Rattus norvegicus: one gene and its partner. The protein of the gene in region 1 purifies or fractionates together with the protein of each later gene. This does not show direct contact. Links are inferred from orthologs where the notes say so. Each region holds a gene or a part of one and is shown in the gene's direction. Other genes may lie near its edges.

Region 1 (3,630 bases):
TTCATGCATACTGTCTGAGTTCATGCATTGTTGCACACTCCCGTGATCACACTGTCCCTGTCCCTGCCCAGGCATCTCTCTCCTTGTCTCTGAATTCTTGTAGGAGATGGGCAGTGTTCAGCCCCTCCTCGTCGACTGCTGCATTTTCTCCCTCTCATTCAAACTCCTCTCGGAAACCTCTTTTTTTTTTTTTTTTTTTTTTTGGTTCTTTTTTTTTCCGGAGCTGGGGACCGAACCCAGGGCCTTGCGCTTCCTAGGTAAGCGCTCTACCACTGAGCTAAATCCCCAGCCCCTCGGAAACCTCTTTTCACTGAGGCCTCTTGTTGCCCTGTTAAGTTCGGTTCGCCCATAGATGGGCATAGTTCCTGTGTGTGAGCACAGGGCCAGGCTCTAACGACACAGTTCAGCCATCGCAGAGTTCTGAGTTTCTCAGACAATGAACCTCTCTTGTATCTAGCCATCCACACATGGCGTTTCTCCATCAAAATATCCACCAGACCAGGTGACCTATCCCGTAGTTGAAGACTGTCTGAAACACTGCTCCGTCTACTCCAGGGTAAGGTTGGGTTTTAAGCACCCAGCTGCAGGAACAAGACTTCACAGCCTCCGGGAGCTAAGACCTGACCAGAGCTCATGGCTTTGCATTCTCAGGGGACTGCTGGCTTCTGGCTGCCATCGCCTCCCTCACCTTGAATGAAGAAATCCTGGCTCGAGTTGTGCCTCTAGACCAGAGCTTCCAGGAAAACTATGCAGGCATCTTCCATTTCCAGGTAACTTAATGGTTGGCCAAGGCACCTCCCCGTCCTGGCTCAGGGACTCAACAGATTCCTCCAGCTTGACTTTGCTCCTCAGCTTCCTGGTCCCTGGTGGTTTGAGAACTCTGGGGGTCAGTTCTGTTCTGCAAAGAATGCTGGAAGAGAGAAATTTTCCCAACCTGTCCACCATGTGGAGTCCCATCATCAGAATGGCTGGGAGTTGGGGGTGGGGAGAGTCCATGGAGGTAGATCATGGTGTACAGGAAGTAATGTGTTCAGGAAGTAATCCCTAAGTTTTTAAGTTTATTATTTGAGGTTTGAGATAAAAGGTTAAAAGGCTTCCTTTCCCTGATAGCAAATGAGAGATGGCATTTTTAAAGTGTGTGTGGCTTTGGAGACCTACATTGAGCTCCACTGGCCTCTTGCTTGGTGAGGGGCACGCTTAACATAAGACACTGAAGAGAATCATGGGAACTTACAACAAGGGGCTGGGCCAGATGAAGCCAAGGCTCGGAGTCCCAGCGCCACCCTCTCTTGTCCCCCATGCCCTGCAGTTCTGGCAATATGGCGAATGGGTGGAGGTGGTGGTGGACGACAGACTGCCCACTAAGGACGGGGAGCTGCTCTTTGTTCATTCAGCTGAGGGGAGCGAGTTCTGGAGTGCCCTTCTGGAGAAGGCCTATGCCAAGTAAGTAACCACGCCCTTCCCCAACACCCCATCTTGCCCCTGCTGCCCTGGACTCTAAAACAGGAGCTATTTTGGGGACTGTTTTGAGTAGACATTCTGTTCTATAAAAGGATGACTTTGGCCCAAATTGGGCTCTCAGTTCAAGGAGGCAATGTGGGCATGGGAGTTGTTCACATGATACACTGGTACAGGACGGTCATTGTTTTTGAGCAAGGGAACTGGAACATGCTGAGGCTAATTGCTCTGGCCTTAAGAACTCTGCTTCTTTGGTGGGCCCCGTTGCCTCTTAACCAAAAAGACCAAAACCTTCTTCCAATGGCAAATCTGCCCATTGCAAAGGTAGGAAAATAGTGGAAACTCACCCAGAATAAATCATGCGGCTGGTAAGAATGGTTTCCCAGTTCTAATCCTAGCTGGGCCTCACTCAGATGGCCCGAAGTTGTGCCAGGTCCACCCAGGATGTCAGCCCTCTGAAGTGGAGGTCTCAGGTGCTGGTGCTCTCGCTGCATTAAGATCGGAGTGAGTGGGTTTAGGATCCCTACAGCCCCAGGCTAGAAATGGGGCGTAGGGACTCCCTGTCCTTAGCCAAGAGAATTTGGAGCATAGAGCTCAGGGCATGACCACAGGAACCTGCTGTGTGCTTCTCAGGAAGCTGGATTCATTACTTTAGTGTCAACCTCTGTGTCAAGGCTAGAGTCAACACCAGAGGCTGGATCAGAACTAAGTCTTTCCAGCTCCAGGGTTCGGTACAAATTCTAAAACATGTCATAGCCGCAGAGGAAAAGTAACTACAGAGATAGTGCCTTGCCTTCCTGGGTACCCCAAGTTGGAGACAAAGACAAAGAGAATGAAAGCAGGGGACCCCATGAGCTCCCATGGGGGGGATCTGAGTTGGAGTGGGGTGGCATTTTCAGGGATGAAGGTGCACCCCGCAGCATCCAGGGCACTGAGTGGCAGTGTGAATTCCCTCCTTCAGGATCAATGGGTGCTATGAAGCACTCTCAGGGGGTGCCACCACTGAGGGCTTTGAAGACTTCACAGGAGGCATTGCCGAGTGGTATGAGCTGAGGAAGCCTCCTCCCAATTTGTTCAAGATCATCCAGAAGGCTTTGGAGAAAGGTTCTCTGCTTGGCTGCTCTATCGATGTAAGTCTCCATGGTCCTCTCCAAGCACTTCAGTCTGCTGTCGCTCCGAGGAGGGGTGGGGTGAGGGTGGGGTTGGGGATGAGGGGCTCTTTAAAACAAAGGTGCATTCCACTGCTCAGCTCCCGAAGCCCAGGATCACTAGGCAATAGCTCTCTAGGGGGCGCATTTGAGATAGGAACAGTGATTCCTGCCCTTCCTCCCCAGCCCACTTTGGATTCTAACTGTGCTGAATCACTCTACTCAAAGAGCGCAAGTTACACAAAGTCCCCCATCTCCCTTCTGCTGGTTTTAGCACCTTGTCCCCCACCTGCAGGGCTGTTTGAGCAGCCCCGCAGCCTCTCCTCACTCTGTCCCAGTGCTCATGGGTCCTGGCTAAGACTGCAGGGAGTACCGCAAGGAACTGTTTCTTCAAAATAGCTTTGCAGGCAAACCTCACCAGGGAAATGGAAAGTGAGCCTGACCCAAGTCCTGGCGAGGAGCTTCCCCAAGCTGGGCCCAAAGAATGGGAAGGGAGGGTTTTTAAGGAGTTGGCAACCCAATACACGGATTCTGAAGCGAGGGTAGAAATAAAAAACTGCCATCGTTGTGCAACTGAGCTGGGCGGGGTAGGGGTGCGGAATTAGAGCATCTTGGCTACAGTTCCCCCATGGGGTGTCTGTCTCTAGGCCTCCCACAGACCCTTGTCTCGAAGGTGAATCCCTGCACACCCTCCCCATCCAGAAGATGATTCCTGGGGCTTTGGGATATGCGCCAACTTGCGCCTTGGTGATCAGCAACTGAAAGCTGCTCCTCCAGGTGGCAGGATGGATGCTCAGAGTCCCCCAGGCTGGGCCCGGGTGCTTTGTGCGTCCTTCTGGGCCATTTGTATCCGGGCTAGAGCAGCCGCCGCCTATTGTCCTTGCGTTTACAGATCACCAGCGCTGCGGATTCTGAGGCCGTTACGTACCAGAAGTTGGTGAAAGGACATGCGTACTCCGTCACTGGAGCCGAGGAGGTACGGGCCCCTGCTAGTTGGTGGCTGTCCGGGGTGGGGCCTCCAGGG
Region 2 (4,160 bases), on another chromosome or scaffold:
CAAGGGCCCATAGCCTTCATTTGCTGGTTCTGGCCTCCCTCTAGTGGTGAATGCATTTAGTGCTTTAAATGGTGCTCATAAAATTGTCCAATTTGGAGTCCTATAAACCAACAAAAGGACCACCGAACTGTTATTATGCTGTTTTTCTTTTCAAGGTATTCTTCCGGCTTTTTTTTTGAGACTTTTGTGTTTGTTTTTGAGTCTTGTTTAGGCTTGCCTAGACCTTACTATGTAGCACAGGTTGAGCTGGAAATTGTGATAATCTTTACGTAGGCTTCCAAACGTTGGGATACAGGTATGACCCATAACAGCCAGCTTAGAATGGTTGCTTACAAGACTATGTCATTGTCGGTATGATGAATTCAAATATACGGATGACTGAGGCAATGCGTTGAAAATGGTTTGACTTAGAGGAGCATGATGGGTTAAGGCTGCCTGGGAAAGATAATCTATAGTTCTACTGAGAATGAGTGAAAGAGAGTTGAGGGCCCACGAACAGAATCCCTTCTTGATATTTGTGACACAAGGAGGGGAATGGTTGTTGTAGTGGGGAAGTCGTTATTTCTTGGCTAAGGTCAGAGAATTTTAGTCTGGTCCTGAAAGGGATCAATCTCTCCATGCAACACAAAACAACATGTACTCTCCTCCACACCATATCCCTACTAGCTTAACCTCTCTACCTCTGTTTTAAACCAGTGCAGAAACCTGTAAGCATAAGTTAGCTCTAATTGCCTCAGTTGGCGCTGGTTATGACCATTGGCTGTACCTTTCATGCGACCATGCATAAGAGAAAAACCTCTGAAGATCACCCCATTAAACTTCCGTTTCCGTTCTATACCACAGCTATCCACAAGTACGCTAACTTTTACATATGTCCCTTTACGTATTGAAGATGGTTATCATGCCTTATTATGTCTTTTTTCCCATGTGCAGATGCTCAAAGCTTTTTGGAACAAGAATAAAAGATATTTCATAAGATGCGAGCATCATGATTAACGTGGCAGGTATTTTATTTACACGTTGTTTATTATACCTGTAAACAGGTTACACCTTGTTAGCAGCATGGTTTTGTTTCCTTAAGTCGTTTTACTTCCCCAAATGAAAACTCTTATGGCCTAATGGAGCAGCCATAGGATGTTTTGTCTGTTGCCAGCAGAGACCTTTCCTTGAGGCTCTGGGACCAACAACCAGGCATCTTAAGTTTACCGAGACCCAGGCTTTTCTCACTTTCCCAGAAGTCCTTTCGACCGTCAATCAATGGCTGGTTCCTCCATGGCGCATGCGCGCCGCCTGCATCCGGCAGCCGGGTGAATTGCTGCCGGGCTCTCCCTGGTGTGGTTCTCCTAGTCATGGCTCCGGACTCCGGGCCCTTCCCCGACGGACAATTTTTGAAGCTGCTGCCTGTGGATCCCCGGGACCGGGGCACCCAGCGCTGCCGCCTAGGACCGGCCGCCTTCCGCAGCCTGGGCGTGCGCCTGGGCTCGCCGATGAGGATCTCGTTGCCCGCCGGGGGCTGCTGCCTCTGCACAGCTTGGCCACGGCGCGACGGGGCGGACGGCTTTGTGCAGTTAGACTTGCAGTGCGCTAGCCCCGGAGCCGCGGCAGCTGCGGGGAGGATCAGTATGGACCGCTTGCAACCGGTGTCCTGTCCGCCCCTGCGGCGCCTAGAGGTGTGGCCCGTGCTGCGGCCGCAGGCGGGAGCCCCGAGTTCCGACGCGGTGCTGGAGGTATCGCAGGAGCTGCTGCGCAACCGGCCGGTGTCGCGAGGACACGTGGTGGCCACCCCTCCCGGTATCCCGGGCCCTGTAGCAGCTCTGCACGTGGTGAGCGGGACACCGGACCCAGAGCCCGCCGGGCGGGTCACACCGCACACCCGCATCACGCTCAGCGACAAACCTCCGCCACAGGTCGAGCCTCCGGGGGAGGTGACCCTTGGGGGCCTGTCGGAGACGGCCGACTCCCTAAGGGAGCTGCTCCGCCTGCCGCTGTGTTATCCGCTCGCCTTAGCCGCACTGGGGCTGGCGGTGCCCCGCGGGGTGCTCCTGGCGGGACCCCCGGGAGTGGGCAAGACCCAGTTAGTGCGGGCCGTGGCGCGAGAGGCGGGCGCCGAGCTGCTGGCGGTGAGCGCCCCGGCGCTGCAGGGCACTCGGCCCGGAGAGACCGAGGAGAATGTGCGGCGCGTCTTCCAGCGCGCCCAGGAGCTGGCCAGCCGCGGGCCCAGCCTCCTCTTCCTGGACGAGGTGGACGCCCTGTGTCCCCGGAGAGGCGGCCCCCAGCGAGCTCCCGAGAGCCGCGTGGTGGCCCAGGTGTTGACGCTGCTGGACGGTATCCACGGGGACCGGGAGGTTGTGGTCGTGGGAGCCACCAACCGGCCAGACGAGTTAGACCCAGCGCTTCGCAGGCCGGGGAGGTTTGACAGAGAGGTAAAATTCTTGGAAGCTCCGCTTTTTTGGACATTTGGGTCAGGCAGGATTTATAGATCACTTGTGATATGCGAGCCAGAACCAGTGTTCAAATTGTTCTGGGAAGCAGGATGGTCATTTTTGTTGAAGTAACTAAGCCTGTTGCAAGCATATTAAACCGAAACAGCCTTTGGGATGAGAACATGGTCACAGTAAGAGAAGGTAAATAAAAAAACGGCATTAGCCCCAAAATGTATTCGTTCCTGTCAGGATACCAGCTTCTCTCCTACAGTTGACTTCCCTAAGTTGTCAGGGCTCTTTCTCAGGAGCCTTTGGTCAAGTGATTTTTCTTTCTAATTTCTAAGGAATTGTTAGTAATTAAATAAAATTTAAATGTTGTGGTAGGATTCTCTTAAGTCTTTTTAGGACTTGAGTGAATTTCTTCCTTGCACCATCTATTAAAGGGCCCCGATTCCACAGAACAAGGACCTAGATTATCTACTCTGTTATTTGAGCCCTGACTGCCAGAACTTAGTGTGTTCTCAAAAAACAACAAAGACTTCTTCAGTGAAGTATAGAGTTTTCATTGTGGAAATCCGCAGCTACTGTTGTTCCACTGGACAATTTTCTTATATTTATAATAAGGTGCGCTTAGAAGTTCACGGTATAAGTTCCAGAAAGGTTTGCTGAGTGTCTGTACATATTGGTGAGGATGCTTTTAAAGATTTTAAGTTGTTTACTTCTAAGTTCTCTGGTTTTTTGCTTTGCCTGTAGGTGATCATTGGAACTCCCACACTTAAACAGAGAGAGGCAATTCTGGGAGTGATTACTTCAAAGATGCCCATCTCCAGTCATATCGATTTAGGCCTGCTGGCAGAAATGACAGTTGGCTATGTCGGTGCTGACCTGACAGCACTCTGTAGGGAGGCTGCCACGTGTGCTCTTCTCAAGAATGAAAAGGTAGGAAGTGTTCACCTGTTACCAGCTATGATAATCTTTCAGATTTCTATGACAGATTAATGTGGGGTTAAAAAAGGTGGTAAGTACATTCATTCCTTGGTATGGCTGGTAGGTTCCACAGCTCGCTCTCTCTCTCTCTCTCTCTCTCTCTCTCTCTCTCTCTCTCTCTCTCTCTATGTGTGTGTGTGTGTGTGTGTGTAAGAATACAAATATAATCTCAAATATATTTAACATCTCAACTCCACATACATAAATGACTAAAGATGACTAAAGATGAGGATAAATGGCTGAGCCTTCCAGGAAAGTCTTCATGGCGACTTTTCCTCACTGCCACAGTAACTTTAGAGCCTGGAGCAGCCAGGAAACACAGTGTCCCTCAGAATAATTAGACAGATGTGAATTTAAAGCTTTTAAGCGGCCACTTAGATTTACACAGGAAGGTGCAAAAATAATGCTAAAATCTTTTGCATATCTTTCTCCCGGATTATCCACTTGTAATATTCTACCGTGTTTACTTGGACATTCTTTCTTGGTGTGCGTGAGTTTACATGTGTGTATGAGTTTACATGTGTGTATGAGTTTACACATATGTATGAGTTTCTGAGACTTGAGAATATCCCACAGCCATGATAACAGCTAGAACTTTAGTCACTCGTGATGATGAACATCACCAGAGTTAACTTTGATTTTTAGAATAAGCCAGTACCTGTAAGACTTCTTCATTGTCATACTGGGTTTTTTATTATAGATAAATATCTAAGGGAGAAATCAAGTTTTCTAATCTGAAGAAAATTGAGT

Evidence for each region. Proteins that work in one complex are often made in the same cells at the same time.
Region 2: the proteins of Capn2 (region 1) and Afg2b purify together in Homo sapiens (co-immunoprecipitation; 3 studies listed by BioGRID and IntAct, with this or other methods). This does not show direct contact. The link is inferred for Rattus norvegicus from reciprocal best matches to the Homo sapiens genes CAPN2 and AFG2B.

Annotation. Positions count from the first base shown.
Region 1 is NC_086031.1:96,705,111-96,708,740, reverse strand, and holds part of Capn2 (calpain-2 catalytic subunit), read left to right. Parts: intron 1-651; coding exon 652-770; exon of another isoform or gene 771-910; intron 911-1,309; coding exon 1,310-1,443; intron 1,444-1,805; exon of another isoform or gene 1,806-1,946; intron 1,947-2,419; coding exon 2,420-2,588; intron 2,589-3,498; coding exon 3,499-3,582; intron 3,583-3,630. UniProt on the Homo sapiens protein: Calcium-regulated non-lysosomal thiol-protease which catalyzes limited proteolysis of substrates involved in cytoskeletal remodeling and signal transduction. Proteolytically cleaves MYOC at 'Arg-226'.
Region 2 is NC_086021.1:130,147,049-130,151,208, forward strand, and holds the start of Afg2b (ATPase family gene 2 protein homolog B), read left to right. Parts: upstream 1-1,293; 5' UTR 1,294-1,349; coding exon 1,350-2,423; intron 2,424-3,176; coding exon 3,177-3,362; intron 3,363-4,160. UniProt on the Homo sapiens protein: ATP-dependent chaperone part of the 55LCC heterohexameric ATPase complex which is chromatin-associated and promotes replisome proteostasis to maintain replication fork progression and genome stability.